4 linked regions of the Macaca fascicularis genome follow. The protein of the gene in region 1 interacts with the protein of each later gene in a pairwise test. Links are inferred from orthologs where the notes say so. Each region holds a gene or a part of one and is shown on either strand. Other genes may lie near its edges.

What was found.
Region 2: the proteins of DMRTB1 (region 1) and EXOSC5 interact in a two-hybrid assay, tested with the Homo sapiens proteins (2 studies listed by BioGRID). The link is inferred for Macaca fascicularis from reciprocal best matches to the Homo sapiens genes DMRTB1 and EXOSC5.
Region 3: the proteins of DMRTB1 (region 1) and QKI interact in a two-hybrid assay, tested with the Homo sapiens proteins (2 studies listed by BioGRID). The link is inferred for Macaca fascicularis from reciprocal best matches to the Homo sapiens genes DMRTB1 and QKI.
Region 4: the proteins of DMRTB1 (region 1) and PKP2 interact in a two-hybrid assay, tested with the Homo sapiens proteins (2 studies listed by BioGRID). The link is inferred for Macaca fascicularis from reciprocal best matches to the Homo sapiens genes DMRTB1 and PKP2.

What each region holds. Positions count from the first base shown.
Region 1 is NC_088375.1:181,218,799-181,224,495, reverse strand, and holds the start of DMRTB1 (doublesex- and mab-3-related transcription factor B1), read left to right. Parts: upstream 1-2,321; 5' UTR 2,322-2,344; coding exon 2,345-2,915; intron 2,916-4,664; coding exon 4,665-4,837; intron 4,838-5,697.
Region 2 is NC_088393.1:48,536,864-48,542,799, forward strand, and holds the start of EXOSC5 (exosome complex component RRP46), read right to left. Parts: upstream 3,921-5,936; 5' UTR 3,856-3,920; coding exon 3,708-3,855; intron 1-3,707. Other genes in the region: BCKDHA (2-oxoisovalerate dehydrogenase subunit alpha, mitochondrial), read left to right, coding at 4,353-4,460. UniProt on the Homo sapiens protein: Non-catalytic component of the RNA exosome complex which has 3'->5' exoribonuclease activity and participates in a multitude of cellular RNA processing and degradation events.
Region 3 is NC_088378.1:7,713,216-7,718,961, reverse strand, and holds the start of QKI (KH domain-containing RNA-binding protein QKI), read left to right. Parts: upstream 1-2,338; 5' UTR 2,339-2,817; coding exon 2,818-2,959; intron 2,960-3,744; exon of another isoform or gene 3,745-4,277; coding exon of another isoform or gene 4,278-4,347; intron 4,348-5,746. UniProt on the Homo sapiens protein: RNA reader protein, which recognizes and binds specific RNAs, thereby regulating RNA metabolic processes, such as pre-mRNA splicing, circular RNA (circRNA) formation, mRNA export, mRNA stability and/or translation.
Region 4 is NC_088385.1:35,401,725-35,406,881, forward strand, and holds part of PKP2 (plakophilin-2), read right to left. Parts: intron 1,934-5,157; coding exon 1,744-1,933; intron 1-1,743. UniProt on the Homo sapiens protein: A component of desmosome cell-cell junctions which are required for positive regulation of cellular adhesion.

The sequences.
Region 1 (5,697 bases):
AGAGATGTTGACCAGGCTGGTCTTGAACTTTTGACTTCAAGTGATCCACCTCCCTTGGCCTCCTAAAGTACTGGTATTACAGGCGTGAGCCACTGCACCCGGCCCACTAATCATAGTTTTAAAATAAAAACTTAACTGAGAGGTTGTTACAGCAAAGCAGAAACAAACCTAGACCTCCTTAAATGGATGCAGAGCTACCAGTGAAGTTCCTAACAAGCCAAGTAATACAGGAAACACATACTTACTTTTACTTTCTTATTAAGATTTTTTTTTAAAGCAGAAAAAGACTTTACAAACCCTTTTTCGCTTTCCAGTGTCTAACAAGCCCCCAAATGGTAACTATTTCCTATTCGCAGGCAGCTAGTAAGAAACGCAAGGTACAACTACGATCAGAGACTCAAAAAAATCAAGGTGGACACCAGGCGTGGGCTTCTCCCATTCTACCACCAGAAAGAGAGGAATTCAAAGAAAGGGCAATGAAAAATGCACAAATTTTAGCCACTTTTTTTTTTCTTTTCTTTTTTGAGACAGAGTCTCGCTCTGTCGCCCAGGCTGGAGCGCAGTGGCCGGATCTCAGCTCACTGCAAGTTCCGCTTCCCGGGTTCACGCCATTCTCCTGCTTCAGCCTCCCGAGTAGCTGGGACTACAGGCGCCTGCCACCTCGCCCGGCTAGTTTTTTTGTATTTTTTTAGTAGAGACGGGGTTTCACCGTGTTAGCCAGGATGGTCCCAATCTCCTGACCTCGTGATCAGCCCGTCTCGGCCTCCCAAAGTGCTGGGATTACAGGCTTGAGCCACCGTGCCCGGCCTTAGCCACTTGTTAACTGTAACTCCTCCTTAAATGTGACTGATCTACTTAGAAGCTTTTCGGCTTGTTAGTGACCCATTTTTTCCTTTTTTAGGACAAAGAAGGGAGGAGAGGGGAGGGGAGGAAAATGGAGGCAGTGGGGAGGTAGGGGGAAAAGAGAGAGAGGCCTCAGGGTGTTACAAATTTGTTTTTAAAAGATGAATTAATGGCTGGGCACGGTGGCTCACACCTGTAATCCCAGCACTTTGGGAGGCCCAGGCAGGCGGATCACCTGAGGTTAGGAGTTCAAGACCAGCCTGGCCAACATGGCGAAAACCCCGTCTCTACTAAAAATATAAAAATTAGCTGGGCATGGTGGCGGGTGACTGTAATCCAAGCTACTCAGGAGGCTGAGGCAGGAGAATCGCTTGAACCTGGGAGGCAGAGGTTGCAGTGGGCCGAGATGACGCCACTGCCCTACAGCCTGGGTGACAGAGTGAGACTCTGTCTCAAAAAAAAAAAAAAAAAAAAGAAAAAACAAAACAAAAAAACCTTAATGTCCTTGGGTAAACTATGACGTTTGTGTTAGCTTTTCAGATGTCCCAATATTTGCGTTGTTTTATAAGGATAACAAAATTCATGATGAGGTTAAGCAATTACTGAAGCTAGTGCTAGACAGTTTTTTAATTTAATTTTTTAGAAACAGGGGTCTTGCAGAATTTGTTTTATTTAATTTTTTAGAAACAGGAGTCTCGCTATGTTGCTCATGTTGGTCTCCAACTTCTGGGCTCAAGTGATCCTCACAAGCAGCTAGGGCTACAGGCACAGGACACTATGCCAGGCTTAGTGCCAGAATATTCTGCCTATTTTACTTTAAAATATTCTAAGTATGCTTACTTTGGAAGGCATGAACATCAGCAATGTGCCATCCTCCAGAAGAGGATTTCTACACAAAGACTCTCAAGAAACGGGAATTACTGCAAGGGCATACCCTTGAGCAACCATCACACTGCACTGAGCTCTTGAAAATATTCTGGAATATCCTGGAAGCATCTCTGCACGGCAGAGAAGTGAAATGCCACAGAAGCAGCAGCTTTAGGGAGGAGAAATACGGTTTGCCTCTTACAGTGCTTTTCTACACTGAAAGCTACATTCCTCCCGAGTTTTAAATCTGTGGACCGTTGAATATCACTCCGCCTTTCCTGAAGTTACAAATACCTTCCGTCGGTGGCGGGAATAGAGTTTGGAAAATTACATGCCTAAGACTTCAGATAAGCTAAATGACATACATGCAATAGAATCCCATTAAGAATTTATGCAACCCAGTCCATTGCATCTAATTACCCAAAGCACAGAAACTCTCCAAACTGTGCACCCCCCAAAAGGAGGGAAAATGCAAGGTTCTTGCTGCAGTTCCCGGGACACACTGCGAGGTGCTTTGTTACAAGTGTATCCAATGTCCCCAGAACCAGGGACTTGTGGGGCGCGGCTCAACCCAGCGCCACTTGCTCTGCAGCTCCCAGAGGTGGTGGTTGTGCTACGAAGGCTGACCCTGCCAATGGCCGACAAGATGGTGCGCACCCCTAAGTGCTCGAGATGCAGGAACCATGGCTTCCTGGTTCCCGTCAAGGGCCACGCAGGCAAATGCCGCTGGAAGCAGTGCCTCTGCGAGAAGTGCTACCTGATCTCCGAGCGCCAGAAGATCATGGCCGCGCAGAAGGTGCTCAAGACGCAGGCCGCCGAGGAGGAGCAGGAGGCGGCCCTGTGTGCGCAGGGTCCAGAGCAGGCCTCCGGGGCCGCGGCCGCCGCGCCCGTTCCCCTCCCGGGCGGGAGCCTGCGCCCTCTGCCTCCGGGGACTCCCTCCGGAGACGCCGAGCCGGGACCCGAGGGCCGCGCGGCCGCCTGCTTCTTCGAGCGGCCCCCGCGGGGCCGGAGTCCCGGCCCGAGCGCCTTCCAACCGGTTCTGGGCGGCCGCGGCCACGTGGAGCCGAGCGAGCGAGCCGCCGTGGCGATGCCCAGCCTTGCGGGACCCCCTTTTGGGGCGGAGGCCACAGGCAGTGGCTACCCCGGCCCCCTGGACCTGCGCAGGCCGCTGCGGCCCGTGCCTGGCCCGCCGTTCACCGACTTTGGTAAGTCGTGGCCTCAGTCCCGCGGTGGACTCCCCGAGCTGGCAGTACAGGCCAGCCCGGATGGGCAGCTGGCATAGGGGTTTGGGGTGGGGAGAATGCTTTCCACGGGTAACGTACCTTCTGCTTTAAGAAACCCTTCTTGGAACGGGGATTTGGATTGGGTACCTTTTCGCAAAAAGGAAACATAAGGGAATGGGCGGTTCAGAGGGCTTTTTTTTTTTTTTTTTTTTTTTTTGAGACGGAGTCTCGCTCTGTCGCCCAGGCTGGAGTGCAGTGGCGCGATCTCGGCTCACTGCAAGCTCCGCCTCCCGGGTTCACGCCATTCTCCTGCCTCAGCCTCCTAATAGCTGGGACTACAGGCGCCCGCCACCACGCCCGGCTAGTTTTTTGTATTTTTAGTAGAGACGGGGTTTCACCATGTTAGCCAGGATGGTCTCGATCTCCTGACCTCGTGATCCACCCGCCTCGGCCTCCCAAAGTGCTGGGATTACAGGCTTGAGCCACCGCGCTTGGCTCAAAGGGCTTTTAACATTTAGCTGTAGTTTGTGCCATTCTGGCATGCAAGAACAAAATGGCGTCCAGTCGACTTAGCAGTGCTTCCTCCTCCGGGAAGAGGCCTCGAGGAGCCCAGTCCTACTGCGCTTGCGCACCTCTTCCCGCCATTTCCTTGGGCTGGAGGCTCCTCCTCCAGAATAAGAGACTTTTCCTGCCGGCAGGTTAGCGCAAGGACGACTGCGCCTGCGCACTCTTCCTTCCCTGTTCGCGGTCGGGAGGCTCCTCCCCTCAGCACGGCCCTGGACCAGTGCGCCTGTGCACCTCTTCCCTCCCTTTCCCCACGTGCGGGTGAGCCGAGCCTGCTGCTTTACTACACGTAAGAGAACAGTTGGTCTGTAAAGATGTTGCCTTTCTTTTTGCCCCTCACCTGGTACATAAATTACATTGTTCCCTGTGCCTTGGAGCTTTCGGTATTGAAGTACAGTTTCAAGTCACATGTACATTTGAAGCTTTAAAAGCCCCGGGGTTTGGTGTGGACGCGTTTTCCTGGTGTCTCCCCATGGTGGTGTCGTGGGACGGGCTGAGGCCGAGGCGGGAGCCTGGGTCACGCTGGACAAGCTCCTGCCCTCTGTGTGCCAGGGCATTGGTCCAGAGGCTTCCGCAGGCTCGTCCCGCCTTCCTGACTTTCCAGGAAAATCTAGGTCCCCAGGGAACGCCCCATCTGATGGGGTCACAGGTCTGAAACTGCAATTCTAGGAGAAGCCGCCTTTCTTTGTTCCATCTCAACAGACAAGCAGGGCTGGGCTGAACTATGAGCCAGGCATTCGTGATGAAGGACGCGGGTCACATTTCTTGCCCTCAGGGACCTTGTCCTTGTGGGAGGGACAGGGTTGATTGAAGAGTCACACAAATCGCTGTCCAGAGCTCGAGCCATGGCCGGGTTCACTGTTGACCCGGAGGAAGAGTAACTTGGCACGGAGGACTCGTAGAGGCAGAGTGTGGGCAGACGGCGTGTGGGCAGCGGGGAGCCGCAGGCCGGGGGCCCACAGCGGGCTTGATGGCCGTGCCGAGGACTCTCCAAGAGCAGCGGGGCTGGCTGGAGGATGGAGATGCAGTGAGGGCCCAGCGGAAGGAAGGGCGGGGTGGGCTTTCTGTGCTTGGACAGCAGCGCTTACGACTCCGCCGGCCTGTGCCACCCTGCGGATGCTTTTCCCAGCGGTGTCTAACACTTCCCTCCTTGCTTGCCTTCTTCAGGGCGCCCTGTGAGCATCAACCCGGACCGTGCACTGGGCCCTGAGTACCCTGGCGGCTCCAGCATGCACCCCTACTGCCCGTTCCCGCTGGGCTACCTGGACGCCCCTCCTGGCGTCCCCCTGCAGCAGGGCTTCCGGCATGTGTCCCGCAGCCAGTACCAAGGCGGAGGCTTGGTGAGTCCCACCCCTCATTTCTTGCCAGCTTCCTCCTCCTCCCAGCAGCCCCTGTTGCTTTGATGGATCCTCATTCCCAGGAAGCCAGCTGTCATAAACTGTGTGCCCACTCCATGCCAACCCCCGAGTGCTGGTGGATGGCTTTACGCACTGCCCAGACACAGTGTGTGTGTCTCTGGGAGCACACGTGTGGACCAGTCTGCACCACTCGGCCTGGGCTATGGCCTGTGCTTTTCAGGGCAGTGGGCTGAAAGACTCTGAGCATTCAGGGTGACCCCTTCCTTGACTGATGCTGATGCTGGAAGGGCCCTTCATTTTGCTGGACTCCAGAAAGGTAATATCACCTTACTGGGACCACAAAATTTAAGGCAGAGTCAGGACCAGAGGTAGACTCCCTGCCCACAGGTAGAGCACACTTGAGACTGCAGAGGGCTTTCAGGAGGAGGTGGCATTTGAACTGAGTCATGAAAAATACGGAAACCTTCCCCCAAACACCTGACACTTTAGGAAATACCTGTTGAAAGAATGAAATTTAATCCTTTTATAAGGTTAGTAAAGGTCAGTCGTTAGCTGGTATTCTGTCTAAGCTGGGAATTTTGAGAACCGAGTGTGTAAAGTCAGTTCACCCCTGTGGTGTGTACTACGAGGTAGGTGTGATTGAGTTTTATGGCCTTGGTTACCAGCTCCTTCCAGACTAGGATGGCTGAAAGCCCTCTCTCTCCCTAATGAAAGTCATTAGCCGCACAGTGTGGAGCCAGTCCAGTGGGGCTCGAGCTGCACCCGGGCATGTTGGGCACACAGGTCACTGGGTCCTTACTCCTGCTTCAGCCTGGCGGCAACAGCTTCTCTTCCACTTGTCT
Region 2 (5,936 bases), on another chromosome or scaffold:
CCTTGTGATCCGCCCGTCTCAGCCTCCCAAAGTGCTGGGATTACAGGCTTGAGCCGCCGCACCCGGCTTCTTTTTTTTTTTTTGAGACGGAGTCTTGCTCTGTTGCTCAGGCTGGAGTGCAGTGGCGTGATCTCGGCTCACTGCAACCTCCGCCTCCCGGGTTCAAGCAGTTCTCCTGCCTCAGCCTACTGAGTAGCTGGGATTACAGGTTCAAGTCACCATGCCCAGTTAATTTTTTTTATTTTTAGCAGAGACTGGGTTTCACCATGTTGGTTAGGCTAGTCTCGAACTCCTGACCTCATGATCTGCCCGCCTCGGCCTCCCAAAGTGCTGGGATTACAGACATGAGCCACCATGCCCGGCCAGTATTAGTAACTTTTAACAGGAAGTTCTTCCTGAAAGCTAACCATCCTCCCTCTTACTGTCACTGCTCTCAACTTCTCTTTCCAAAGGTTCCCCAGCCCAGCTCTTCCCTTAGGCACTGGTCCCCAAATTCTGCACCAGTCCAGTCTGGACACCTGAGAAAGGAATAATATCTGGAATGAATCCTGATTCCTGCTTATTTCCCCAGAAGCTATAAATGGGGTACAGGAGGTAAGACCGAAGAAATAAATAGCCTGGCTTCTAGTACTGTCTGCTGTAATCCCAGCACTTTGGGAGGCTGAGGTGGGTGGATCACCTGCGGTCAGGAGTTTGAGACCATCCTGGCCAACATGGTGAAACCCCATCTCTACTAAAAATACAAAAATTGGCTGGGCATGGTGGTGGGTGCCTGTAATCTCAGCTACTCGGGAGGCCGAGGCAGAATTGCTGGAACCGGGGAGGCGGAGGTTGCAGTGAGCCGAGATGGCACCATTCCACTCCAGCCTGGACAATAACAGCGAGACTCCGTCTCAAAAAAAAAAAAAAAAAAAAAAAAAAAAAAAAAAAAAAAAAAAAAAAACCAAAACATTTGAGGCCAGACATGGTGCCTCACACCTGTAATCCCAGCACTCTGGAGGCCCAGGTGGGAGGACTGCTCGAGGCCAGGAGTTTGAGACCTGCCTGAGCAACATAGCAAGACTCCTGTCTCTATTTTCTTTTTTGAGACAAAGTTTCCCTCTGTCACCCAGGAGGCTGGAGTGCAGTTGTGCAATCTCAGCTCACTGCAACCTCCGCCTCCCAGGCTCAAGTGATTCTCGTGCCTCAGCCTCCAGAGTAGCTGAGATTATAGGTGCGTGCCACCTCGTCCGACTAATTTTTGTATTTTTAGTAGAGACGGGTTTTCACCATGTTGGCTAGGCTGGTCTCAGAACTCCTGACCTCGACTGGGCGAGGTGGCTCACGCCTGTAATCCCAGCAATTTGGGAGGCCGAGGCGGGTGGATCACGAGGTCAGGAGTTCAAGATCAGTCTGGCCAACATGGTGAAACCCCGTCTCTACTAAAAACTACAAAAATTAGCTGGGCGTGGGAGCACACGCCTGTGGTCCTGGCTACTCGGGAGGCTGAGGCAGAAGAATCGCTGGAACCTGGGAGGTGGAGGTTGCAGTGAGCCACGATCGCTTCACTGCACTCTAGCCTGGGTGACAGGGCGAGACTCTGTGTCAAAAAAAAAAAAAGAATTACTGACCTCAGGTGATCTACCCTCATCGGCCTCCCAAGGTGCTTGGATTACCGGTGTGAGCAACCCATGTGAGCAACTGCGCCCGGCCCCTTCTTAATTCTTAGGTTCGAAGAAACTTGAGGTATCTCAATTCAGCATAAGTGCTAAGCCTGAGGGAGGGTCCGGGAAGGTCCCTGGTTAAGGCGGTATTTCCTGGGATGCCCAATTTGCCCTTACACGGAAGGTGTGCTTAGTTCCAGGAAAAACTGCCCTGAGGACTGGAGAAACCAAAATAGAACTCGCCTCTGGCTCCAGATGAACTGCCTGTGTTTCACCTGAGCACAAGAGTCCCTCCCCTCTCACCTTCTTCAAGACGTGGCTCCAGCAATTCTCTCCCCTGTTGACCCCACAACCATCTTCAATTCCTGCCCCACTTATCTGATCCTCTTACAGCAAAACTCCTGAACAGCTGTCTATTCTTCCTTTCCTGTGACCCCACCACTCCACTGCGGCAGCTCAACATCGTCACCACTGACCTCCAAATGATCAACCCTCCATTGACCCGGCTGTCAGTAAGGCCGAAACAGCTGTCAGCCCTCACATCTCAGACACGCTCTTCTCTTGGCCCCAGGTCACCACCCTCTCCCGGTTTCCCCCTAAGTCTCTGGGCGTTCCTTCTGAGTCTCCTTTAGCTTGCTTGTCACAAGTCCCTGACTGCTCAAGTTGGAAGGCCTAGGGCTTGGTCCTGGGACCTCTTTTCCATCTACACTGACTTCGTTCAGTCAATAGGCTGAAATACCATATATACAGCCAGAGAGTTCCAAATTGCCTATGTCCAGCTTGGGTCTCTCTCCTGATTTCCAGACTTGTACAGATCTGGGCAGAAACCTTAGTTATGCCTGACTCTTTTTCCTCGCACTCAAACCAAACTATAGGTAAGTTTTGTCCGTTTTACTTTCAAACTACATCCAGAATCTCATCACCTCCACTACTCCTGTTCTGGCTGGAGCCACCATCACCTCCCTGTTTTCCCCCATACTCCCCACAATCAACACAGCAGCCAGATTTTGTTAAAATGTATTGGGGCTGGGCGTGGTGGCTGGTACCTATATGAGCACTTTGGGAGGAGGACTGCTTGAGTCCAGGAGTTCAAGACCAACCTGGGCAACATCGTGAGACCCTGTCTCAAAATTTTTTTTTTTTTTTTTGAGACAGAATCTTGTTTTGTCGTGCACACTGGAGTACAATGGCACAATCTTGGCTCACTGCAACTTCTGCCTCCTGGGTTCAAGAGATTCTCCTGCCTCAGCCTCCCCAGTAGCTGGGATTACAGGCGCCCACCACCATGCCTGGCTAATTTTTGTACTTTTAGTAGAGTCGGGGTTTCGCCATGTTGGCCAGGCTGGTCTCGAACTCCTGACCTCAGGTGATCCACCCGCCTTGGCCTCCCAAAGTGTGGGGATTACAGGCGTGAGCCACTGTGCCCAGCCTCCTGTCTCAAACGTTAAAGAGAAATATTCTTGGAGTTAATCTGGTTCTGAGAGTTATTTAGCTAGGGGAAGGGGATATTTGCCCTATAGGTAAGACTTGCCCTAATCTTAGGGATATTTACTCCTGTGGAGAGATGCAGTGAGGTAGCGGTGGGGATGTATTTTTCAACCCAGGGCAGTGACATTATCTTCAATTTGAGGAGTATTTACGTGGGTGAAAGATCCGCCACAGTCCAGAGTATGCAAATTGACAGGTTTGCGTCAGTCCGGGATGCAAGGACCTAGCGGGCGTGTGTGTGGGGCGGGCGGGGGCGGGGGTGAGGAGGAGGAACCTAGTTAAGGGCGATATTTACCCTGGTGAGGTGATTTTCCCTATTCTGAAATATCAATTCTTGCGGGGACGGTCTGCCCCGCCTGTCATTCTCAGACATATTTACAAAGATGGAGCTATCTTCTCCTTTCTAGTCGTGAGGGAGAGATGTATGTATCCCTGCGTATGTAGTAGTATTCAATCGGACAAGAAATCATGTATCAACGCAGGAGTGACATTTACCAGCTGGTATCATGGGGAGATGGGCACTCCGTTGCACGGTACATGGTAGTCCCTCTCCAAAAGACCTGGGTAAGTTCTTACCTTGCAGGAAGGAAGCAGAGCCATCTGGCCGCGACAGCAGGTTCTGTTCGCAGGCAAAGTGCCGGAGGCTGCAGCCGGGACCCCGAGGGCTGCACCCTGTTCCAATTTCAGCGCGGATTTTGGCGTCAGTATGCATCTCCTCCTCCATCGCGCCGACCCCACGTGCGGCTGCGATTATCACTTCCGCCCGGCAGCGCGCGCTGCGAACACTCTGCGTAACCATTGCGCACGCGCTGGGCTCGGCCGTCAGTCCTGGCGTCCGCACGTGGCTTAGCGTTTACCAACAATCTGGCTCCGCCCAGTCCCACCTCCTAACTCTGGCAACGCCATTGGACAGTTGAGAACAGGAGGCAGGCCTTGGCAGTGACCTGTTTTACTCTGGGCCCCCGGGCCCTAAATCCCTGAGGCCGTGGTCAGGTTGCCCTCTTCTTTGCCTGTTACAGGAGTAACTACAATGAGGCGACTGGGGAAAATTTTGGGTAGATAGGTTTTCTTCTCCAAATCTCTGTGCATTCTATCTACAACAGAATGGGAAGAAGGTGATTTTCTTGTCAGATGGTGCTGGAGTTTGTGTCAGGCACATAAAGGGGCAGCCCCGAATCTAGCCTACGTGAGTGCCCTACCGCTGAGTGGTTGCTAGCCAAGATGGCGGTAGCGATCGCTGCAGCGAGGGTCTGGCGGCCAAACCGAGGCCTGAGCCAGGCTGCCCTCTTGCTGCTGTGGCGGCCTGGGGCTCGGGGATTGGCTAGATCTGTGAGTACCTGGGCCCCAGGGGGTTTTCCCAAAGGGGATTAGGGATGTAAAGGCTATCTTCAGAGTGTGGGGTCCCTGAAGGATATGAAGGAAGGGCTGTCACAGAAGGGAAAAAGTGGGAGACCCCTTGGAGAAGACACCGAAGGGAAGATCTGCCACTTCCTTAGAAGAAAAGAACTTCCACTTCTTCAGGAGAGGACAAAACCCGTTTGCAACTTCTTTGTGGGCCCTGAGGGAGGGAGACGACTTGAAGAGAGGGATGGGAGTTCCTTATTTATTTATTTAGTTAGTTTTTGAGGCGGAGTCTGGAGTGCAGTGGCCGGATCTCAGCTCACTGCAAGCTCTGCCTCCCGGATTCACGCCGTTCTCCTGCCTCAGCCTCCCGAGTAGCTGGGACTACAGGCGCCCGCCGCCACCCCCGGCTAATTTTTTTTTTTTTTTTTGCATTTTTAGTAGAGACGGGGTTTCACTGTGTTAGCCAGGATGGTCTCGATCTCCTGACCTCGTGATCCGCCCACCTCGGCCTCCCAAAGTGCTGGAATTACAGGCGTGAGCCAGCGCGCCCGGCCGGGGGTTCCTTATTAACTGCCACTCGTATTCAGGGGAGGTTCCTTGGAGGGACAGGGGAAGACCGCGAGACCTTTTCCCTCAGGCTTTGGAGAATGAAACTGACTTTATAAAGGAGAGACTTTCTTCTGGGCAAAGATCCCTCTTCAAGAAGAAGAAAGAAGAGAGCAAGTCCCCTTATCGCAGGCTGCATAGGGCCTTGTATTTCTTTGCTCCTTTGCCACAATTCTGATTTTAAAATGAATTGTGTAAAAATTTTGTTTGGTTCCTGTGTCTCCTGATCGAATATCAAGACAGGGAACTCGTGTGTTCTGGACACTGTACAGAGGAGATGATTAATATTTGTTGAGTTAATGAGGGGAAAAACGGAGGGACAGAGGTACAGATAGGGCACTTTGCCCACATTTCTTAGAAACACTTGAGAAGGCTTTGTTTCTTGTCAAAAGGGTCACAATCCCTTCAGGTGGATGCTGTCAAAATTACACTGCAAAAAACCTGGGTGGAAGCCTCTCTTTAGAGGGGGAGAGGCAAGGGGTTGCAGAAGAGCTTTGAACTACATTTGACAGATAGGAGAGTAGTGGTTACATGGGTGGGTTCGTGTCCTTGCTCTGCCACTTTCCACTTGTGTATTGGGCAACGGACTGCACCTCTCTGGATCTATGGACCTAATTTCCCTCTCTAAAATATTAACAGTGGCCACCTCATAGGACTGTGAAAAATTAATATGTAAAATGCTAAGGACTGGACCTGGCACATCATAAGGGCAATAGGAATGTTGGTCATTGTTGATAGTGAGGGTAGAGGGAAAGGACAGAAACTGACGTTGGAGATGGGGAGAAGAAAAGGGTGACCTTGGGAAGGCCTGGACTGGTGAGGCCCTGCGGAAAAAAATCTTAAAAGATCTTGTGA
Region 3 (5,746 bases), on another chromosome or scaffold:
AATAAAATATAATTGTATTATAATCCCAGACACAGGACTCATAAGCTGTATTCTTGCACAAGGCACTTAGCTTCATCTTTCTTGGGTTTCCCCTTATTTGTAAAATTGGGATAACAGTCTAACCTAAGCCCAACTTGTACTGATGATTAAATGAGATATGTATGTAGAACATTCGGCATAGTGCCTAGGAGCTTAAGAAATAAGCAGGCCATTAAGAAGGGGGTTGCATTTTATACTAGCAGCATCAAAACCTTGTGTAACTATTTTTCTAGGTACTGAAACAGCATTCATTACTCAGAGACCAGAGCTTTTTTTCAAGTTACTATTCCCTGCATTTAGAAAGTTCATCTTTAAATAGGCAATTCAGTAAGTAAATATTCTATGGCTCTAAAACAGATACTGCTGTTGGAGAATTTAAAATATCTGAGAGTTACATTTTTAACGTTGTCTACCAAGGCTATTACATTTCCTCTGTCAAAGTAACTTAATTTTACAAACGAACTCTGTGCTTGTTAAATGAAAAGGCCAGAAGCTACTGGCCACTCAGCGTTCGTTTGAAATTCTTGTAGTGCCTTCAGTACAACTCAAACTTAGAGGTGATTCTCAGAATTCGTGTGAAGCAACATTTCACAAAAAAAATCACCTACGTTCACTATTAAGTCAGAAGACAGAATGATTAACAGTAAATTTCAGCCGCGAATTACTCAGTATCAACTGGATATTAAATAACTGCATTATTTTAATGGAATGTTATAAAGGATTTGCAACAAAATGCAGATGCAGATGTAGATTTAGGGACTGTCGACTTCTATAGATCAAGGAGGACTTCATTGTTGCAGCTCAGAACATTCTTCCAAACAAATCTAAATGTTGGAAATCCACCACACTGCAGAGAAAGACCTCTTGCCTCCGTATTCTTTCTTCATCTGTAAAAATGTTGACTTCTGCTTTTCAGACTACGCGCACAGGCTCTTTCCTACTGCGGCTTCATTCCCTCACGGAACACTGATGCCATCGCGAAAGAAGCATTTCGAGCACGACTAACGCTCCCCTTATAATTTGCTAAGCCGCTGCGCTCGGGTCTCGCTACGATTTGCTTTCAGAATAACGAGAAGGTGCAACAAGATCGCTTCCCTGGCGGCGCGTCAACCGCTTGGCCCAGACCCCCCACGCCCGCCCACCGCCCCGTGGGTGCGCACGCGTGTCCGCGCACGCTTCCCCGCCTGGCGAGCGCGAGGCTTCTCTCCGCCGTGCTGCTTTCCAGCCTCTCAGCAAATCACGAACACGGAAGGGAGCCACGGCGGCGACGGGAGGGGCGTCGCGCGTGGTTCCCTCGGCGACAAAGCGGGAGCCCGGCGCGACGGGCGCCCTACCCCGCAGAGGCGGACGCCGCCGCACGCGCCTCAGAAAGCCTCAAACTCCAGTCCTCGGCTCCCCCGCCACACCCCCGCCCCGCAGCCAAGACCCGCGAGGTGGCGGGCCCGACGGCCAGGGCAAGCCCACCAGCCCTCCGCACCGTGGGCGACTGGCCAGCGCCCGGCCCTAAACGGGCAGCCCCAGCCCCTAGGCGGCTGCCGCCCCCAGCCCCGCCCACGCCCCACGCAGGCGCGCTCCGGGCCCCTTCCCTCCCCCACCGCGCGCTCGCGGGGCCCGGCGGGGGCGGAGCGACCCTCGGAAGGGGCGTGGCCACGGGGCACGACGCGCGCACGCGCTCTGGAGCCCCATGGCTACGTGTCGGGCCACGTGATGCCCACCCCGAAAGTCCCCCGTGAAGCAACAGGACGTTAAAAAAAATTTCTTTTCTGCGGGGTGGATGAGAGGTTCTGAAAAAACTATAGTAACGGGAGGCGAGGCGGAGGCAGCGCTGGCGCGTCCCGCTGGAATTCCTCCCGCCTGCCGCGCCAGCCCCAACCGCGCCCGAGCCCCGCGCCCCCCCGCGGCCGTCAGCCCCGCAACCCACACCCACCCGCCCCGGGCGCCCCGCACGGCGGCGACCCAGTCCCTGCGCCCAGGCCCGGGGCCGCCGAGCGCCGCCGCCCGTCACGCTCCCGTCGCCCCCGCCGCCCGCCCCGCCAGGGAGGCAGGGAGGAGGGGGCACGGCGCCGGCTGCTGCCCGGGTCGGGGGGCGTCGGGCAGCGGGAGCGCGCCGGCCGGGCCCCGCTAACGGCCGCCCTGCGCGGCCCCGCCCGCCGCCCGCCCCCGGCCCTCCCCGCGCCTTCGCCCCTCCCCCCCCGCCGCTGCTGCCGCCGCCGCTGGCAGCGCCGCCTGAACTGAGGCGAACTCCGCCGCCAAGTGAGTGAGGAGGAGGAGGAGAAGGAGGAGGAGGAAGAGGAGGAGCGCAGTCAGAGCGCGGCGGCAGCGGCAGCGGCAGAGGCGCCGCGGCGGGGACCAGCCCAGAGAGACCCCCCGAGCCCGCGGCACAGGCGGCGGCGGCGCTGAGCGGGCGCGACCAGCCGAGCGAGCGGCGGCCCCGGCTCCTCCTCGTCCGGCGCCAGCGGCCCGCGCCCTGCGCCCGCACTCGGCCAGCCGAGACCCGCCTCCCGCCCGCCCGCCGGCCTCGTGAGGGACGCGCCGAGCCGGGCGGCCGAGAGCGGCGGCGGCTGGGAGCGCGTCGGGCCCGGGCGGAAAGTGCCTGCGGGGGGCGGGCGAGCGCGCGGTGCCGGCCGCCCCGGGGCTCGGCGCGGGAGCCAGAGCGGGAGCCGGCGCGGAGCGGGACGCCGGGTCCCGAGCGGCCCGCGGCCGGGGCTCGCCCCCGCCCCTCCCTCCTCTCCGGCGGCGGCGGCGGCGGCGGGCGGAGTGAGCTGCGGAGCCTGGAATATGGTCGGGGAAATGGAAACGAAGGAGAAGCCGAAGCCCACCCCAGATTACCTGATGCAGCTGATGAACGACAAGAAGCTCATGAGCAGCCTGCCCAACTTCTGCGGGATCTTCAACCACCTCGAGCGGCTGCTGGACGAAGGTGAGCGTCTCCGGGGCCCCGGCCCCGGCCCGATCCCCGCCGGGGCGGCCCCTTTCCCTGCTTGGGATGGTGGGGAGGGCGGGAAGGTCACGGCCGGGCGGGACCGCGCGCCGGGGGGACTGGGAGGCCAGGAGGGCGCACAAAGGAGGCGCCGGGCCGGGCTTGCGGCGGCGGCGGGCGGGCGGGCGGGCCGGGGTGGACCCGCCGGGGCCGGACGCCCCCTGCCCGGCCCGGGACCCCGCGCCGCTGGCGCCCAAGTTTGTGCGCTGCGGAGGGCTGCGGGGCGAACCCTGCGGCCCCTCTGGCTTTGGCGGTCACATTTCCGAGAGGCCAGCGGGGGCTGCGCGGGCTCGGTGGTCCTCGCCAAGCCCTCCCGAGAGCAGGCCCACGCCGCGCCGCCGGCCTGGAGGACGCGCGTGTCCCCGGCGCGGGCCCCGCTCCTCTCCTCGACCTCCTGAGCTTGCTCTGCGCGGACCCCCGCTGCCCCGCGTTCGGGAGCTCTCTCCCTCCCATGAGGACTAAAGCGGGGTTTCGTGCTTGGGGAGTTGGTGCAGCTGGTAAATACTAAGTGGAAGTCAGAGTGGGGCTCGTTAGTTTAAAGAAATTCCATAGGAGACCGAAATTATGCTGGCGTAGCCGACAAGGAGGACGAAGTGACGGCGAAAAGCACTTTTTTCCCTTTTGTTTGGGGAAGCGAGAACTGTTAGGGAGTTGAACTTCACTTTTCGGGGGTGGGGGGGGGGGTGGAGTGCGAAATAACGCGATGACAGATCGGAGCGCAGCCTGAGTTAGGAAGAACTTGGGCGGAGGGTTTGCTCCCGGAGACGCAGCCGCCCGAGTTTGTAGGACAGGGAATCGAGACGTTTGGAAAGGGCGAAATAAAATTGAGCCGAAGTTTTCAAAAAGCTTTATGGAGCGCTGTGGGGAGCGAAGAATGACAAGAAGATTAATGTTGACCAACTCTGGAATTTCCTTAAGAAGTTCTCATAGCAGTATCTGGAGTATTAATTTCTAGTAGCTGTGGGTTTCTGTGGACGCCTAGAGACAAAAATAAATGACCACAAAAAAGTGTTTCGAAAATCGACTAGCCAGGAGTTTTTTTTTTTTTTTTTTTTTTTTTTTCCTGCTCAGAGGCATCACCGGAGGACTGTGTAAAGGAAACTGAAAACTTTAGGTTGAAGAGATGAGCAATGGAGTTTAGATTTTTCGCAAGAATTTCGAGATTTTAAAAATAGAGTCGGGGAACAGGAGTTTGAAGCTTGGGGAGTTGGAATGTCATTAGAGAACAAAAGGCCGGAAATGTTTCCATGATAAAAAGATGATTAAAGAAAAATCCCTGGAGTTTTATTGTCTTGAAAGTCAAAGAAACAACTTAAAAGTAGAAAATGGTTAGGTGTTACGGCTTTCTCGTCGTTTTGCTTCCATATGTTAAACATACAGCACTCACCAGCATTGAAATGGGCATTTTCCACTGTTGGAACAGCAAATCTGTTAATTTCAAGTTGCTCCAGAGAAAACTTGAGCTGTCCCTTTAAAGGGTTCTGCTTTTCCTGTTTGTGTTGGCATTTGAAAGATTGTGGAGGCAGAAAACTTTCTGGAATGTCAAAAAAAAAAAAAAAAAAAAATTGCTGGAACTCTTAAATTGAGTATTTCCAAATGTGAGCGCTAAGGGGCGCCAGTTATTTTTTAACCATGGAAATGGTTGGAACCAAATGTGTAACATACTCAGTAATCTGACCTATATTAAATTTAGTTGAAACTTAAATTATAGATTATTTGATTTGTCATGTGTTTATATAGTGTTTTCGAACATTGAAAACACTTTCCTTAAAATTATTAGCACAACTTCATGACGTTTCAAAAGTAACACTCTTAATATTTTCTCCTTGGCATATTTCGGTTAAGTTAAAGTTTTAGTAGTATTAGTAACAATTTCTGGTGAAAGTTTTTTTTCTTGAGTGCAGTTGTTTAGAAGGAATCCTTTATCGACGATAAAATGAAAATAGGCCTTGACAATATTTAGGGTTAATTAAAATTAAATTGTATTCTTGAAATGTTGAATTCAAAGACTATAGGAGATTCCAAAAATGTGAAAATACTTTCACCTTATGTATACTATTTAAAAAACTGCATACTTTTGAGTTTCTTTAGTTTTAAAAGGCTTCTTGTGCTTTTGTGTTGATCTAAAATCTCTAAATTTAGAGCTGATTCCTTGTTATCAAGTTTCCAACCTTAGGCTTTAATAATTTTTAATCTTTCAAATCCAGAAATGTTAATTATGTCATTATCTCTAACAAAGGCTTATTTCTCTCTGGTTGGAAATAGTTCTCATTTGCGTTTTAAATGTAGGAGATCACTATGATATCGCTTAGATAATGTTTGTTTCCCCTTCCCCTTTTAATGTGGTTTACTCCATCTCTCATCTTACTCTGTCTTTAGTTTTTGCCTTGTCAACTCCCCAGTGTAAAGATTGCTTCTGTATGACATATAGTATGTTTAAAATGGGCAATATAATGACAAGGAAGCTTGATTGTTTTTTATCAGACCAGTACAAACATGCAGGAAAAAGGGCTATTCCTTAGTGTGGAATAAGCTGCTTCCTGTAATTGTTAGTCTTATTATAAACTTAATTTGATTTAAGAAAAATATTGGTTTCTGAAGTCCATCACATTTTTTTTTTCTAGATGATTTAATTGTGAAATTTGGCATCTTGTGCTTTACCCCTTTGTGGTTTGTCATTGTTCAAAACAAATTAATCATGACTTTTGTTTCTGGTTAGGCATTACT
Region 4 (5,157 bases), on another chromosome or scaffold:
GATGTAATGTTATAAATGATAATTAGTTCCCAGGCTAGCCTACAAATGATAGGTCAGATATATAACACTCTAGTAAGGAAAGAGCAGCAGACACCACTGGCAAGAAGCTGCTTGTTAATTTTCGTTTTTGAAACAGAGCATGTGAGGACTCACAAGTGGACACTCAGGGCAATAAACAAGTAACGAAGTAGCTCACCCCCTATCTTGCTAAGCAACCAGAAGTTTCCAAAAGTAATTGCATATTCCCATGTGCAACAATTGTTATATCTGAATACTCAAATAATGAGCATCATACTATCTTATGGTGATTTGCCTGGAAGTTTGGATGACTGTTTGGAAGAAGAGTCATTTCTGTTTTCCAGCAGTAATTCATTCTTTCCACAAAGACTGAGCAACTCTAGATACTATCTGCCAGCCTGTGGCGACAGGTGAATATTCTTGGGGAACTGACGCTCCAGCCAGTGCTCAGGGCTTGTTTTAATCTGACTCTGAATGCAGTCTTCCTTCCTCATGTGCACTGCAAAGTGGGCTGCAGGGTAGAAGGGACCTCACTTGGGTGGGGCTGTGGTGGAGGTGACATGTACATCCCTGAACAGCCAAGCACACGTTTCTTCAGTACAGATGAAGTCATCTGCTTTGTAACTCATTAGAACTACGCTATAGTGGCCATTTCTTTTCTTGTTTGGTTATTTACAAAAGTAACTTGTATCTATTTGTAAAAAGTCAAACAATTCCGAATTGTATAAAGAGAAAAAGATAATCTTCATGCCCCTTTTCAATCTCATCACTCTAAATTAACTAATAGTAAATAATTTGGTTAAACAAGGTTTTTCATTCTCCTCACTTTTTTTTTTTTTTAATAGGGCAAAGTTGAAAACAGGAACACATTGGACCTTCTATTCTCAAAAGGGAATAAGATGTGGAAGAGATAAGATAGAGAAAAAACTGTGAAAGCAAGACTTTGTCATCAGGCTCCCCCCACTGCTTCTCCTGTGCCATCACTGCTGCTGCTGCTGCTTTTTTTCTTCTTTTTTGAGACAGAATCTCACTCTGTCAACCAGGCTGGAGTGCGGTGGCATGATCGCGGCCCATTGCAACCTCTGCCTCCTGGGCCCAAGCAATTCTCAAGCCTCAGTCTTCCAAGTAGCTGGAATTACAGGCACGCACCACCACATCCAGCTAGTTTTTGTGTTTTAGTGGAGACAGGGTTTTGCCATGTTGGCCAGGCTGGTCTCGAACTTCTGACCTAAGTGATCCACCTGCTTGGACCTCCCAAAGTGCTGGGATTACAGGCATGAGCCACTGTGCCCAGCCCATCACTGCTTCTTCTAAGCCACCTGGTGTGACGTTGCCTCTTAAGATGGGAGTGAGGAAAAGGGCACTTATCTGTCCAGAGGACTCCTGCTTTGCCTACATTCTGCTGTTATTAAATCATGGCTGTGGCTCTGGGAAACTAATTCATTAGGCCAATACAATGCTGGAATGCACTACCAAGAGAAGCTCTGGAGTCTGACCCTCTCTCGACACTTCAGAAGAGAAGGGACAAGCATGTGGTGTGGTGGCTCCAGTTCTTTCCTTGGTTGGTCACTGAGGGCTGGCCAGACAATCTGGCCTGGCTTTGCGTCCTGTTTGCCGCCATGTTGCACATGATGACCCTGACTGCACATTCATAACTGGGCTGTTTACACACAGGGTGGTGAGGGGAAAGGGAGGCCACTGACGGGCAGAAGCTGAAGGACTTACGCATCGCCTGCACTGATGGTCATAATTTTCTGGATGCCCCCGGTGTTTAGAAGGTCCCGTGCATTCTGGTAACTGTTTTGGATTATGTTGTTCAATGTGTAACAGGCAGAAGCTGTAGTTTCAATGAGAAGGTCAGTACTTGGGACTGTGTCAGGAATGATGGAAACCAAATCGGGGAGAGTTTCTTTGGCTACAAAATGAAAAAAAAAAACACTTGATTTAAAAGATTGTTTCTTAATCCCAAAATCCCAATACATTTTGGGTAATGAACATTTTTTTTTTTTGAGACGGAGTCTTGTTCTGTGCCCAGGCTGCAGTGCAGTGGCATGATCTTGGCTCAATGTAAGCTCCGCCTCCCGGGTTCACTCCATTCTCCTGCCTTAGCCTCCCGAGTAGCTGGGACTACAGGTGCCCGCCACCACGCCTAGCTAATTTTTTTGTATTTTTAGTAGAGAGGGGGTTTCACTGTGTTAGCCAGGATGGTCTCAATCTCCTGACCTTGTGATCAGCCCGCCTCGGCCTCCCAAACTGCTGGGATTACAGGCGTGAGACACCGCGCCTGGCCAAGAACATTCTTAAAAAGAAACACAGCTGGTTGACAACACATGGAAAGATGTAATTTCCCTAATAACAAATTTTTTAAAATATTTGAAAAGAGGATACTCTGTGCTCAGCACATTGAAAATCTTTTCAGAATGTAATTTGGCAGAAATGTCAAGAACTTAAAACATTTTCATCTTCTTCAATTCGGTCATTCCATGTCTAGTAATACATCTTAAAAACATCACTTTGAAAATGGAAAAAGCTTTCTACAGAGATCTTTATGACAGTACTACACGTAAATGAAAAACTAAAAAGCCTGAATATCCTAATAATAGGAATATGATTAACTAAAACACACCTGCAGAGACTATTACTCATCACAAAACCTATCTATGAAGCATGTGTAATAAAAAGAAAATAATTATGCTAATAGTGTATGTGAAAAATCTGTATATTTATTTATATAAAGAATACATAATATTATTGGCCAGGTTTGGTGGCTCACACCTGTAATCCCAGCACTTTGGGAGGCTGAGGCGGGTGGATCACTTAAGGTCAGGAGTTCAAGACCAGCCTGGCCAACATGGTGAAACCCCGTCTCTACCAAAAATACAAAAATTAGCTGGGCGTGGTGGCACCTGCCTGTGCCTATAGTCCCAGCTACTCAGGAGGCTGAGGCACAAGAATTGCTTGAACTTGGGAGGGAGAGGTTGCAGTGGGCAGAGATCACGCCACCATATTCCAGCCTGCGCAGCAGAGAGAGACCCTGTCTCCAAAAAAAACGAAAAAAGAAAAGAATACATAATATTACCAAAAAAACCCACATAAGAAACCTGAGGAAAAATGTTAATAGGAGCTGCTTTTCTACAACAATATTAATAGTGAACTAAAATCATTTTCTTTTTTTTTTTTTTTTGAGACGGAGTCTCACTCTATCGCCCAGGCTGGAGTGCAGTGGCGTGATCTCGGCTCACTGCAAGCTGTACCTCCCGGGTTCACACCATTCTCCTGCCTCAGCCTCCCGAGTAGCTGGGACTACAGGCGTCTGCCACCATGCCCAGCTAAGTTTTGTATTTTTAGTAGAGACGGAGTTTCACCTTGTTAGCCAGGATGGTCTTGATCTCCTGACCTCATGATCTGCCTGCCTCGGCCTCCCAAAGTGCTGGTATTACAGGCGTGAGCCACCGTGCCCGGCCAAACTAAAATCATTTTTGAGGCCAGGCACAGTAGCTTATATCTGTAATCCCAGCACTTTAGAAGGCCGAGGCAGGTGGATCACTTAAGCCCAGGAGTTTGAGACGAGTCTGGAAAATATAATGAGACCCTGTCTCTATTTTAAAAAGTACAATTAAATAAGTGAATAAATAATAAATGAATAATCTTTGCTTCCCAAGATTTTTTTCAATACATAAGTAATACTACCATTCTAAAAAGAGAAATAAACTATTTTAAAGGTACTTTTCTACTATGTATATGACTTCTTGGTTGTAAGTTTGAGTTTGGCTTTCTTTTTGTACTAATAAGAAAGGTATTAAAAAAAATAGACACGTCACTTTCACAATTAGGCTACAGAAAATAAAAAAGACACATAGACCAATGGAACAGAATAGAGAACCCAGAAATAAAGCCAAATACTTACAGCCAACTGATCTTTGACAAAGCAAACAAAAACACAGAGTGGGGAAAGGCCACCTTATTCAACATATTCAACAAATGGTGCTGGGATAATTGGCAAGCCACATGTAAAAGAATAAAGCTGGATCATCATCTTTCACTCAAAAACCAACTCAAGATGGATCAAAGACTTAAATCTGAGACCTGAAACCATAAACATTCCAGAAGATAATCATGGAAAATCTCTTCTAGACATTGGCTTAGGCAAAGAGTTCATGACCAAGAACCCAAAAGCAAACGCAACACAACGCAAAATAAGTAAATGGGATTCAATTAAACTAAAAAGCTTCTGCACAGCAAAAGAAATAATCAGCAGAGTAAACAGATATCCCACAGAGTGGGAGAAAATATTCACAAACTGCATTCGACAAAGGACTAATATCCAGAATCTACAAGGAACTCAAATCAGCAAGAAAAAAGCCAAATAATTTCATCAAAAAGTGGGCTAAGGACATGAATAGACAATTCTCAAAAGAAGATATACAAATGGCATATGAAAATTTTTTTGATAAGCTTCAAACAAACATGAAAAAAATGCTCAACATTACTAATTATCATGGAAATGCAAATTAAAAGCACAATGAGATACCACCTTACTCCTGCAAGAATGACCATAATTTAAAAATCAAAATATAATAGATGTTGGCATGGATGTGGTGAACAGGGAACACTTCTACACTGCTGGTAGGAATGTAAACTAGTACAACCACTATAGAAAACAGTATGGAGATGCCTTAAGGAACTAAAGTAGAGCTACCATTTGATCCAGCAATTCCACTACTGGGTATCTACCCAAAGTAAAAGAAGTCATTATATGAAAAAGACACTTGTACATGCATGTTTATAGCAGCACAATTCACAATTGCAAAATATGGAGCCAACCTAAATGCCAATCAACCAACAAGTGGATACAGAAAATGTGGTATATATACACCATGGAACACTACTCAGCCATTAAAAAGACAGACATAATGGCCTTTGCGGCTCAATTGGATGAAATTAGAGACCACTATTCTAAGTGAAATAACTCAGGAATGGAAAACCAAATATTGTATGTTCTCACTTATAAGTGGGAGCTAAGCTATGAGGATGCAAAGGAATAAGTGATATAGTGGATTTTGGGGACTTGGGGAAAGGTAGGAAGGGGTGAGGGATAAAAGACTACACATTGGGCACAGTGTGCACTCCTCAGGTGAC